3 linked regions of the Kluyveromyces lactis genome follow. The protein of the gene in region 1 purifies or fractionates together with the protein of each later gene. This does not show direct contact. Links are inferred from orthologs where the notes say so. Each region holds a gene or a part of one and is shown in the gene's direction. Other genes may lie near its edges.

The links.
Region 2: the proteins of PUF3 (region 1) and ARP2 purify together in Saccharomyces cerevisiae (affinity purification with western blotting; 3 studies listed by BioGRID, with this or other methods). This does not show direct contact. The link is inferred for Kluyveromyces lactis from reciprocal best matches to the Saccharomyces cerevisiae genes PUF3 and ARP2.
Region 3: the proteins of PUF3 (region 1) and HRR25 purify together in Saccharomyces cerevisiae (affinity purification with mass spectrometry; 4 studies listed by BioGRID, with this or other methods). This does not show direct contact. The link is inferred for Kluyveromyces lactis from reciprocal best matches to the Saccharomyces cerevisiae genes PUF3 and HRR25.

Annotation. Positions count from the first base shown.
Region 1 is NC_006042.1:1,428,757-1,434,691, reverse strand, and holds PUF3 (mRNA-binding protein PUF3), read left to right. Parts: upstream 1-2,776; coding exon 2,777-5,569; downstream 5,570-5,935. Other genes in the region: IZH3 (Izh3p), read right to left, coding at 1-1,198. UniProt on the Saccharomyces cerevisiae protein: RNA-binding protein involved in post-transcriptional regulation. Negatively regulates expression of COX17 by binding to the 3'-UTR of COX17 mRNA. Promotes decay of COX17 mRNA by enhancing its rate of deadenylation and subsequent turnover.
Region 2 is NC_006039.1:350,664-354,281, reverse strand, and holds ARP2 (actin-related protein 2), read left to right. Parts: upstream 1-1,334; coding exon 1,335-2,510; downstream 2,511-3,618. Other genes in the region: MRX9 (Mrx9p), read left to right, coding at 1-897; serine/threonine/tyrosine protein kinase MPS1, read right to left, coding at 2,714-3,618. UniProt on the Saccharomyces cerevisiae protein: Functions as ATP-binding component of the Arp2/3 complex which is involved in regulation of actin polymerization and together with an activating nucleation-promoting factor (NPF) mediates the formation of branched actin networks.
Region 3 is NC_006040.1:264,557-268,386, forward strand, and holds HRR25 (serine/threonine protein kinase HRR25), read left to right. Parts: upstream 1-1,204; coding exon 1,205-2,722; downstream 2,723-3,830. Other genes in the region: NPY1 (NAD(+) diphosphatase), read right to left, coding at 1-414; cAMP-dependent protein kinase catalytic subunit TPK2, read left to right, coding at 3,377-3,830. UniProt on the Saccharomyces cerevisiae protein: Protein kinase which phosphorylates serine and threonine residues. Can use casein as a substrate. Phosphorylates elongator complex member ELP1/IKI3 on 'Ser-1198' and 'Ser-1202' which promotes the tRNA modification function of the complex.

The DNA of each region.
Region 1 (5,935 bases):
TATGCCATACAGAGGATGATAGTAAACACTTTACACCTGCAATCAAAAAAACTTGGATTATGAGTTTACCAAATAAAGGTACATCTTGGGACATGAATACTTTAGTGGTTGGTAACTGGATGAACAAAAGGTATGCTAAATAAACTGCACCGAACAAATGGGACCAAATGTTTAGTGTTTCATTATGCCAGCCATACCAGTTGACGACCGATAATACAGATTTTACATGAGAATCATAAAATCGGTAACCGTGGATGATGTACCTGTTTTCTCTCCATGGGAATGGTAATTCGTAGAAATGCAAATGCCTTTGGCGACCTAGATCGCATGCGTTATCCCAGTTATAGAACTGTATTGTTTTCTTAATTGAGTGAGGATCTTCAATGAACAAGTCGAGATGTTCGTCGAGGAAATCTAGCGTTTGGATCACTTGTTGGGTATCAATGTCGACGCATTTATCGTCGATAGTTTCCAGTTCACACATTTCACTACGGTCCAGCTTTAATTTGTTGATTGAGAACGAGGAGACGTTATGTGAATCGTAGCGAGAGTTGTCTTGACAGTTATCATCTGAACTGTTAGAGTGTGAAGACGAAAGAGCACTATGACTTATGCTATCGTCAAACCGAGGCATTTTCGATGAAGTTTGTGATGATGATCTGGTAGAATCCTTTGTCGAGGAGTGAAGAGTCGTAGAGCTAGAAGCAAACGAAGTGAAATGATCATCGTAAATCTGTGAGAATTTTAACAACGGAGAAGTGATTGAAGACCTGTTCAAACTTCTTTCGAACTCTTCAGCAATCATAGTTTCAGTGTCATTCTCAGGCAAAACAGCTGTTAACTCTTCCGTGGTACGTTTCAAAAACCTATAAAACGCTGGTGCGTCTGGATTGTTGATGAAATCTTGATATGAAACCTCTTTCTCAGCCTCGACAGGCTTGTTGTTCCATCTCAAAAATTTACGGCCTCTTTGTCTTAACTTGTTAAACCCTTGTCTGGGCAAACTTGTCGTCGTAGCGACAGAAGTTGAAGGAAGCACGGACTCCAATTTCTCTAGTTTCTGATTTGCTGATTTGATGAACCGTGCAAGTCTTGTTAGCGCGACGTATTCATCTTCGGAACTGAGACTGAACTCGTTGTCAACTCCAGTGACATTTTCCGAGGTATATTCCATAATAAAATCTTCAGACTTTGACATGATGTATCGGAGCTACCTGAATGAAAAAAAGAGCGAAACTGAGCCTGGCAATAACAGGGTGAAGGAGTTAACTAATACAAATAGAAAGGAATGTGATGGTGTTCTTGTCTCTTGTAATATATACCCAAAGACGAAGTATAATTTAGCTCAAACTAAAATGGAAAAAAAAGAAAAAGGATCTGGATTCAGTAGACGGAAATGTGTATAGTTTAACGGTGAATATCCTAGTCTTGAAAAAGGACGTTTGGTATGGTATGGAATAGTATTGAAACTTGTGATATGTCTTGCAGTAGTAGTTTCCCTTTCAAACCAGCTCATACTGCGGAATATATAAATTCATCTTGTTATATAAAGCATATGGAATTGATATCACATCAAATTTCAAATTTCGAATTAACCGAAAATTTCAAAAATCTCATTCACAGATACTACACATGTTTCCGGCCGTCTCTATTATACAATCACGGTTCACTCGGATATTCTTCGAACAAGAACACGGCATGTATTCAGTTTGTTCCATTCACCGTCTTCTCTTATTACTTAATTCATAATACGCTACTCGTAACAATAAGAACGTGTCGTACACCCATCATATTCTAGCCAGGCCAGAATATTGGTCTTTTTTCTTCTTATTCTCCTAGGACAAGAAACAAGATCTCTGGCCGATCTTTTCCGAAACAAAAATGTGGAGGGACAGATAGTATGGATGGACTCAGGGATCAGTTTGGGTGAGTTTGCAAGTGCGTGGGACACGCACTGCCATGTTACCCTCCTCCGCGTTCCCATTTTGTAGCCGGTCCAGTCCAGTTCAGTCTACTCAGCCATAAAAAGGAAATAAAAAAAGGCTTAACTAATGACCTAGAATACATGGAGAAGAACTGACATGTTATTCCTCTTTCTTTTCGTTTCCCTTTACCTTCCTTTTAGTTTCATTTCTTTTGGTCTCAATCTAGACCGGGTTCTCGAAATAATGCCTATCATGAAACTCCTATAAATTTATACTTTTTTTTTACTAAAATTCGAGAACATAGGGGACTCGAACGGGCGACCTTTTAAAAACTACTACCCGGACATGATTTAATTTTTCTGGTTTTTCCGAACTGGTTCCCCTGTCGAACTATGCCCTGCAAGAACGGAACATAACCGTCGAGGGATTCGTCTTCTGGCTTTCATTGTCTTTTCATGAGAAAACCTGGAATTATCGATTATCAACATTTTGAACTTTTCATATTTTGTTTAATTTACGTTTTTATGGATATTGAAACTATCCATTGGATATTAAAGTACTCTGGAGTAAAGGACACTCCAGTTCGCGGCATATATAGTCTTTTCTGAGTTTGTCCTTTGTTACAGCTTTACTCTCCAGGTACCTTAGGCTTGGGTGAACTGCATTTAGTGTATCACTTTTTTTTTCCCCCATTTTTCTTTGTTTTGTTTCTTGGGACCAGAGTTCCCTTTGTCGTTCCTCAATTTTTGTTAATACTACATTGTCGTTGATCTTCGCATTTTTACTTTATATTGGTATTTGCGGTTCCCAAGTTAGTTGTCAGTGGTTTAGAGTACTCAAATCTTGTTAAGATGTCACTTTCAGAGCAACTGAACGGCTGGAATACCGCTGTTTCTGACGATAAGGATAATAATACCCAGATTGATTCTGAATTAGCATCAATAGTCTCGTCGCTTTCGGCACTGTCAAATCCGAATGTACAGCAACAAGCACAGCAGCAGGTTCAACAGCAGCAAGTACAGGCGCAGCAGCAGCAACAGATTGGTGGGTTCAGAAGGGCCTCTTTCAATAGTAATACGGGAAGCGATGTGGACTCAGAGATCTTTTTCAATACACAGAATTCTCCCATGTTGAGGAGAACTACTCTGTCTGTAGGCGGGATGTCTCTGCCTGAGAACTCTTCGTCCCACGCTCAGAATAGATTGAATGCCATGAACCATTACTCTGCCAGTATCGCTGGTGGTCTGACAGCTCAATTCCAAAATAATAATAATCCGAACTTGAACAGTTACAACGGAAGCGTGACTAATTCTAATTCGATCGGTGTCAATAATAGTTCAGTTACATCTGGATTTTTCGAAAGGTTTGGTCGTGCCTTAGCTGAGGGTACTCGTGAAGTGGAATTGAATGTGGGTGTGGGTAGTGTTAACGTTGGTGGGCCTCCTTCGAGTTCGAATCACGCTGGTACTGGCTCGAGAAGAGCATCTGCAACCACAGGCTTGGAGCATTTATCGAGAGTCGGATCTAATACGACGCTGCATGGTGCAAGAAGAATGTCGGATACCTCTGAAGTGTTGGACTCCGTTAGTGAAAGTTTATCGATGCAAAATAATGAGCCTAATTCTACTACCATTTGGAACGTGGCTGCTGCACCCGTATTCAGACCTCAGAATGCCGAACACATGCAACAACAATACCACTACCAACAACAACAGCAGCAGCAGCAATCTCCACTGCATCAACGTCAGCCTCAATTCCAGCCTCAATTCTCTTACCGTCGTTCTAAGGACGGCAAAACTGCTCCTTTTCCAAGTGACCAGGACATTGATCCAAATGACCCTGCCTCGTTTGCTAATCAGCAGGCAGCTCCTTTCAACTATGGTTATCCTGGGTTTAATCAATTTGGAATGCCCATGTTTTTACCTCCTGTGCTGTCTCCACCACCACAACCATTCCCAGGTATGAATGGATCCAACGATAACAGTCAAGATGTCGAGACTACTGATGGTGTTACCAAAGAGGCTTCCGCTTCTAGAAAGAACCAACACGAGTCCGAATTATCAGAGACATCAGGTGAAACAGGTAATCATCCAACGATGATGCCACATCCAATGGCTCCTTATCCATTCCCCAGTCCATATCCTTTCATGTATGCTCCAATCAAAGAAGATGACACAGAAAATAATAAGGATAGTGAAACTGTTAAACCTCCTTTGAGCCCTACTTTCTTGCCACCAAATCCTTACATGTTCATGCCTCCATCTATGCAACCACGTCCAGGTAACTTACAAGACGCTCCAAGCTCCCCTCCATCCGCAGACAATGGTTCCGGTTCTAACAAGAGAAATAACGATTCTAAATACTCTGGCAAAAATAAATCAAATCCATACCTGCACGCAGGTAAGGCTCAATATTCACAATTCTCTCCGCCACCAAGTAGGGCAGGTATGGCAGTGCCCCCAAACACTTTGCAAAGTTCTTCAGGTTCAGGTGCAAACAAACAGGGTCGCCAAGGTAAAAATGCTCGCCAGAATAACAAACAGCCTATCGTTAGATCCCCATTATTGGAGGAATTCAGGAACAATTCTTCCAATAAAGTTTACAAACTTAGCGATATTTACGGCTCCGCTTTAGAGTTCTGTAAAGATCAACATGGTTCCAGATTTATCCAACAGGAATTGGCAACAGCTTCTGATGCTGATAAGGAAGTAATCTTCAATGAGATTAGAGACCAATGTATACCATTATCTCATGACGTGTTCGGTAACTATGTCATTCAAAAATTCTTTGAACATGGTACAAAAACACAAAGGGAGGTATTAGTGGATCAATTCAGAGGCAAAATGGAGAACTTGTCGTTAGAAATGTATGCTTGCCGTGTTATACAAAAGGCATTTGAATTCCTAAATGAAGATCAAAAGGTTGATCTCGTATCTGAACTTTCCCATTGTGTTTTAGCTATGATCAAAGACCAGAATGGTAACCATGTTATACAAAAAGCCATCGAGTGTATTCCGATTGAAAAATTACCATTTATTCTCCAAAGTTTAAGAGGACAAATCTATCATTTATCAACGCATTCTTACGGTTGCCGTGTAGTTCAAAGACTATTGGAATTTGGAACTCTAAAGGACCAAGATGATATTTTGAATGACTTGGATGAATTCATCCCATTCTTGATCCAGGATCAATACGGTAACTACGTAATTCAGCATATTTTACAGCATGGAACTGAAGATACGAGCAGTCACATAGGAATGAGTAAACAAAATATCATCGATATCATTCGTAAGAATGTTGTTGAATATTCAAAACACAAATTTGCCTCCAATGTTGTTGAAAAGTCAGTAGTTTACGGATCCAAAAACCAGATAAGACAGATTTTGGATCAAATTCTACCAAGAGACGAAGAGCACGCCGCTGATTTGGAAGATAATGCACCATTGATTCTAATGATGCGGGATCAATACGCGAACTACGTTGTTCAAAAGCTCGTGGGTGTCGCAACTGGTGAAGATGAGAGGTTGATTGTTATTTCCATCAGATCCTATTTGGATAAATCCAATAAAAATAACACTTTGGGTAACAGGCATTTGGCTAGTGTTGAAAAGTTAGCAACTTTGGTGGAAAAAATTCAGATATAGATGTATGTCAGCCTCAACTTGGGAAAGCAAGACAAAAAAAATTGTTCTGCCTCGAATATTTGCATTTGATAACCACGCTTTCTTTCCCTAATAACTGGTTCACTTTCTAAATCATTCTATTGATGAAGATTGCCATTTCTTACGTTTTGTATCCCCGTGATATCTCTCACGAAGATCTTAATATCTTCTAAAATCTGTTGTTGAGAACAGATTACTACCTAATAAATTAATATCCTTTAAATGTACATATTGTTTATCATCATCCTGTTTATAATACATGCAAATATTTATCTCTGCTATAAGTTTTAATGACCATAATATTATAGTACTTCTAGAATCCTAATGGTGATATCGTTCAGATGAAAT
Region 2 (3,618 bases), on another chromosome or scaffold:
AATTTCCATTCTACGCCGAGAAACATGGTACTTGGTGGACGGGATCCTTTCAGAAAAAGTCCCTTTAACAATCCCAGATTTATCTTTTCAATCAGCCCTTTTTCCTTTATTCTTTCCACGTTACTGTTCGCTGGATTCATAACAATGATAGTATTTGTTTTGCCTTTCTTACTTGCTTTGCTTTTCCCGATGGTGATATTTGGAATAGGGTGGTATCAATTCAAAGCTTTTAGAACCAGGAAACTTATGCAGCTTTTGGATCATGCTTTCAATCAAACTAAGATGAAGCTTTCATCCACCACAAGGAGAGAATTGATAATGAAGCAAATGGTCCCAAAATTCAAGTCATTTACCCAGCTAAAGGACTTCAGCGGATTCCCCTTCAAGCTCTCTCAAGCATTTACAGATAAGTTTCAATCGGGAGAATTTCCCAACGCAGACAGATTTCTTTCCTTTGTGAAATCGAGATTAGATGAGAGTTTCTATAAAAACGAACACAACATCAAATCCATAGTTTTAGGAAGTGATACAGCTTATGTTCCAGGACACATGGAGTTAGTAACAAACTCGTACTCTTTTGTTTCCAGCGTCAGAAATAACGAAAACATCCAAGCTTTTTCATTTATGCTATTGAACATGGGTTCTGAGGGAGTCCGTAAACCAGTTGCATTGGTTTACATCGTTACAAAGGCAAACCCAGGGGACGAATTGTTGATGTTCACTGGTGACTACATTGATGATTCTAAGTTATCCCCGATGGTCATCTATGTACGTGCTCTCAGCCCATTTTCGAAATGTTGCTTCATTACAGACGTCGGAGAAACTGGAGCAAATGCACAATATAGTGTAAAACGAAAAAAGGACGGCAGTAAAGAATACACGTACGAAAGTGATTAAAAGAACTAACGCCCTCACCTAGGTACTGACATGACATTATTAAGAATCATCACTTCACAAAATCTATTTAAGTTGACACAAACCGTCACAATTTATACATATTCATCAATGAAATAAAAAAGATCATATAACACATATCCAAGCAAACTATAAGATTCATTTGAACCATATGAAAACATGCTTTACATGTAAATCCAACGATTTAGCGGCTATCTTGTGACGTGCCAATAGCTTTATACCTCCTGGATAAATTCTATATGGACAAACATGATCACATGATTTACGTGAAAAACGACATCAACAACATTGGGAAATAGGAGATGTTCTTAAAGAAAGAGAGGAAATAAAGGTTTATTTCATCAGATTTAATAGTGGAACTGGGGTAATTAAATCAAACGGACATTTGTGAGCATCTTCAACCCATTAATAAAGCGAAAATGGACCCACATACTCCAATTGTTCTTGATCAGGGTACTGGTTTCGTGAAAATTGGCCGTGCTGGTGAGAACTTCCCAGATTACACCTTCCCATCCATCGTAGGTAGACCGATTCTTAGAGCTGAAGAAAGAGGTCATGCTTCTACCCCATTGAAAGATATCATGATTGGTGATGAAGCAAGTGAAGTTCGTTCATATTTACAGATTTCGTACCCAATGGAAAATGGTATCATCAGAAACTGGGCAGATATGGAATTACTATGGGATTATGCTTTCTTTGAGCAGATGAAATTGCCAACTACATCCGGCGGTAAGGTACTACTTACCGAACCACCAATGAACCCCATTAAAAACAGAGAACAAATGTGTGAAGTTATGTTCGAGAAGTATGATTTTGGTGGCACATACGTTGCAATTCAAGCCGTTCTAGCTCTATATGCTCAAGGTTTGTCGTCGGGTGTCGTTGTTGATTCCGGTGATGGTGTTACTCACATTGTTCCTGTTTATGAATCCGTTGTTTTGAATCATTTGACAAGAAGGTTAGACGTTGCTGGGAGAGATGTAACCAGACACTTAATTGACCTTTTGTCTCGCCGCGGTTATGCATTCAACAGAACTGCCGATTTCGAAACTGTTCGTCAAATTAAAGAAAAGCTTTGTTATGTATCTTATGATCTAGACTTGGACACAAAATTAGCAAGAGAGACGACTACTCTAGTGGAATCTTATGAATTACCCGATGGGAGAGTCATCAAGGTTGGACCGGAAAGATTCGAGGCACCAGAGTGTTTATTCCAACCAAGTTTAGTTGATGTCGAACAACCAGGTGTGGGTGAACTTTTATTCAACACAATACAAGCAGCAGATGTGGATATCAGAACATCACTTTATAAAGCTATCGTCTTGTCTGGTGGTTCATCCATGTACCCAGGTTTACCTTCAAGGTTGGAAAAAGAACTAAAACAACTATGGTTTACAAGGGTTCTACGCAATGATCCCACACGTTTGGATAAATTCAAGGTCAGAATTGAGGACCCACCAAGAAGAAAGCATATGGTGTTCATTGGTGGTGCCGTCTTAGCGAACATTATGGCCGATAAAGACCACATGTGGTTATCGAAGCAAGAATGGCATGAAATAGGTCCTGCTGCAATGTCAAAGTTTGGACCAAGATAAATGAATGATTAAAACTCTTATATAATAGTACATTTGTATTACGTAGGTAAACTTATTAATGCACCCATAGGTTCATTTGCTGGCTTCTTATGGGAGCACAGCATTCATATGTTGCTTCTTTATTCAATGCAGGAAAAAAAGCCATAAAGACGGCATGTCAGAAGTGCTTTATCCCAGTACTGCCCTCAGTGCAATAGATTAATCTATAATTTAAATTCAGCTAGTTTGTTCCAAACATCTTCAGATAATTCTTCCACACGCTCATTATTGACATGTTTTTGATCGCAACCATAGTTTACTGCATTTTTTATCAAATCATGTATGAAGAATTTTGTTACGGTGACAGGATTAATTAATGCACCACTTAATAGCTGGTCAATTGTAACACGAGATATGGGATTTCTTTCCAAACATGATCTTATAGTGTCAATAACAGTTCTTGGTATCACTGTACCGAAAGAGTCTTTTTCAGGATAAGGAATCTTAACATCAGGATTCATGATCGCATATAACCTATTGTTTCCCTGGAACGTACCATAAGGCGGTTTTCCGTACACCATTTGGTAGAGGATACATCCACAGGACCAAACATCTGATGGTTTACCCACTTTCCATTTGGCTTGTTCACCATCATTCCTTGTGAAGTTCATTGCAACCAAAGTCTCGGGAGCCATATAATTGGGAGTTCCGATCTGGTTGTCTCGATAAATATTTACAGTGTGATCGGGAACCGCATTCGCAATCCCAAAATCAATTATCTTTAACATTCCCTTGACGAAAACAAAATTTGCGGGTTTCAAATCAGAATGGACAATATCAGCATCGTGAACCACCTTCACACATTTTATCATTTCTTGAAAGTGATATCTGACAAATTCCGTATCAAATGGTATTTTGGATCTCTGAGTCAATACTTGGGATAGATCATGTTCACCACATTCCATTAGGAGAAATAAGACACCTTGTCCCATATGATAGTCAATTAACTTAACAACTCGCTGCTTGTTTTCTAGTTTCTTTAGAAGCTCTATTTCCCCTTTGAAGCCATCAATACTGGACTCATCAAATTCATCGAAAGACACGCGTTTCAACGCGTATACCTTGTGAT
Region 3 (3,830 bases), on another chromosome or scaffold:
CTTTGTCTCCGACTTTTGAACTAGAGTATCGGACGCTGGCCGCAAATCCATGGCAAACAATGGGGTACCGGTGTACTCCTTGTAAGAAAAACTGCTGTCACCATCCATCAACCCTAAAAACGTTATTGTGAACCCGGATTCAACTAACCATCCTCTCTCGGTATCCATGACAGATCTTATCTTGTTTAGTAAGCCTGGCCATTCCGAGTAGTTAGGACAACCTTGATGTCCTAACATTAATAAATTGGTACCAGACTTGTCACTAGTCTCAGTTGCGAATGCTGCCCCATTGATAAACGGTACAAACTGAGTACTTCCATGTTCGAACGCTTGCTTGATGAAAACCTCGTCGTCCCTTAGGAATGACACTCTATTGATAGTTTCCAATCCGAAAAAGGTTACACTTCTTTCCATATGTACTGCGCTATCAGGCTAACCACACTATACGGGTACTAAATTGATCGAACTCCAAGTACAACAACCTCTCCAGCGATCAAAACGACAATGCGACTAGGTTGTGCACTGAATATACACGTATAAATCCAACTGTTCCCGGTCATTATGTGGATGTGACTGCAAACCATGCTTTGGAAATTACCCTACCATATATCACGTGATCATAAGTTTCTACTATCCCCTTCGTAGAAAAAAGAAACACTATTATTTTTTGTACCAAAAATTGAAATTGAAATCAACTTAACCACAATTAATCACCATGTTTGATATTTCATTGGTGGAGTTAGAGCATTAGACGGAGAATTTAGTGGGCCATTTGGTGTCATAACACAGGTTAACTGATACGGAAACTCAGATATCAAAGTATAGTTTCAAAACGTCCATCTTTCCCCAACTATATACTTAGGAATTTGACCTTTTTTTTGGTCTCTGTTTTGGTTTATTTTTTTTTTTTTTTCATTTCAGAACTTCAGGTTTAGTTGCAGAATTTCCCTCTCAATTTTGTGAAGTTGAGAAGCAATAAAGCAACAAGCAACTGACATATCTCACTGTACGTTTGTTTCCAGTTGAGTTTGATTATAGGATAAAAATATCTTACTTGATATTTCTGGTATTTGAGCTTGTACATGAGAACGTGGATATAAAGACTTATTTTGAGGTTCTGCGGTATATATACTTTCATTTGATTAGAAATATTGAAGGTAAGACGTGAACAGGAGAAGACAGACATAAGGAACGAAAAAGAAAGATGGATTTAAGAGTTGGTAGAAAGTTCAGGATTGGGCGGAAGATTGGCTCTGGTTCCTTTGGGGACATTTATCATGGGACTAATTTGATTAGTGGTGAAGAAGTCGCTATTAAGTTGGAGCCGATTCGTACGAAGCATCCTCAATTAGACTATGAGTCTCGAGTTTATAAGTATTTGAGCGGCGGTATTGGAATACCATTCATCAGATGGTTTGGGAAGGAAGGTGAATACAATGCTATGGTGATCGATCTTTTGGGTCCGTCTTTGGAAGATTTATTTAACTATTGTCATAGGAAATTTTCTTTTAAGACCGTAATCATGCTTGCTCTGCAGATGATCTGTCGAATCCAATACATTCATGGCAGATCTTTCATTCATAGAGATATTAAACCGGACAATTTCTTGATGGGTGTCGGAAGACGTGGATCCACCGTGCATGTTATTGATTTTGGTTTATCCAAGAAGTATAGAGATTTTAGAAGTCATAACCATATCCCATACCGAGAAAATAAGAACCTTACTGGTACTGCACGTTATGCCAGTGTCAATACGCATCTTGGGATCGAACAAAGTAGACGTGACGATTTGGAGAGTTTGGGTTACGTGTTGATATATTTCTGCAAAGGGTCCTTACCATGGCAGGGGCTCAGAGCCACGACAAAAAGACAAAAATACGACCGTATCATGGAAAAGAAATTGTGCATCACCGTCGAACAACTATGTCAAGGTTTACCTATGGAATTTGTTGAATACATGAGATATTGTAGGAACCTCAGATTCGATGAAAGACCAGATTATATGTATTTGGCTCGTTTGTTCAAGGATTTGTTCATCAAGTTGGAATACCATAATGATCATTTGTTTGATTGGACCATGTTGCGTTACACAAAAGCCATGATCGACAAACAAGGAGGCGCCCAAGCATTGGAACAAAAAGATGAAAATGGTAATAAACAGGATTCATTTGATAAAGTGAAACAATTGGCTATGAAGAAATTTTCAACACATTTCCACTATTGGAAACCAGATGATACTTCTCATCCAACTGCTGAAGACATAAAACAACAGACTATCCTAAACACCCAAGTTATCTCCACGATCCCAGATGAAGTCATGAATGCTATCGACAGAAACATGGAACAGTTGAAGCACGAAGTGAACCAACAGGTGGCGTCTCAACCACAACAAGGACAACCACAAGGACAAACTCAGGGACAAGGACAAACTCAGGGACAAGGACAACCACAATCAGGTCAGCAACTAGATACACAGTTACCTCAACCTACCACGTTACTACAACAGCAAAGGGCACAAGTTCAAGGTCAACAAGAACAGATGTTACAACAGCAACAACAACAACAACAACAACAGCAGCAACAACAGCAGCAACAACAGCTTCTGCAACAGCAACTGCAAACACAACAACAAACGCATCCAAATGCAATGGCTATCACCAACCCACTACCAAACCCTAATAACACCACCAAAACTACCACTACCAATAATATCTGGCTTTAAACGCAAAAGACGAAAACAATGCGCAAACAGTTGCAAAATCTGTAGAGTAGAAAAAATCACACACGCTCATACATATATACAACTCATCATCAGTTAATCATGGGCTTCTAACCCACATTGGTTATAAATTATAACTCGGAAATCTGTTACCTAATTCACACTTATATTTCTTTCTTATATGTACTTGAATAGTGGAACATGGGGGAGAACACACACAGGGATTTTCTCACCAACATGAGCAACCATGAAAGTAAGCTGGTTACTGAATCGGCAGCTGACACAGGTTTACGGTACTCGCAGTTCACAGCTCATTGTTGCTGCTGCTGAAGTTTCCCTCCTCATCCTTGGCAAGGCCATTATCGCAATATACGAATTCCACTACTAAATATCGAAAAAGGGTTTCTGTTCCTCACATGAACAGTGAATTGTGAAAAACTAGACCAAAGGAAAACTAACAACAAAAGGAGAGTCAACTGTGGTGAGAAAAAGAGAGCAATCTAGGGCGCATTGAGTCTTGAAAAAGTGCAATATCCATATAAGACTATCAGTCCAAAGCTATAATTAAGGCAAAAACTGGTTTGTCCCATTTTGTACTGTTTATTCATTAGAGTAAACTAGGGGATTTTGACCCCAAGGGAAAAGGAAAACAAGAGGATGGAATATCAGCCTGTGAATTTACAACAGATGAATACTGCTCCAGCTCCTGCAACCAATCCTGTGAATCCGGCGGATGTGACCGTGGGTTCACAATCTACCGATTATTTATTGGCTCAGCAGAAGGAATCGTTGTTGCCTCAAAGGTCTACTGTGTCTAAGGGGAAATATACGTTGCATGATTTTCAAATCATGCGTACATTGGGAACAGGGTCATTCGGTAGAGTGCATCTCGTGAGGAGTGTGCACAATGGACGTTACTATGCCATCAAAGTTTTGAAAAAACATCAAATCATTCGAATGAAGCAAATTGAGCATACGAATGATGAAAGACGGATGTTAAAGCTGGTTGAACATCCTTTCTTAATTCGGATGTGGGGTACGTTCCAGGATTCTCGTAATCTATTCATGGTTATGGATTATATCGAAGGTGGTGAATTGTTCTCGTTGCTCA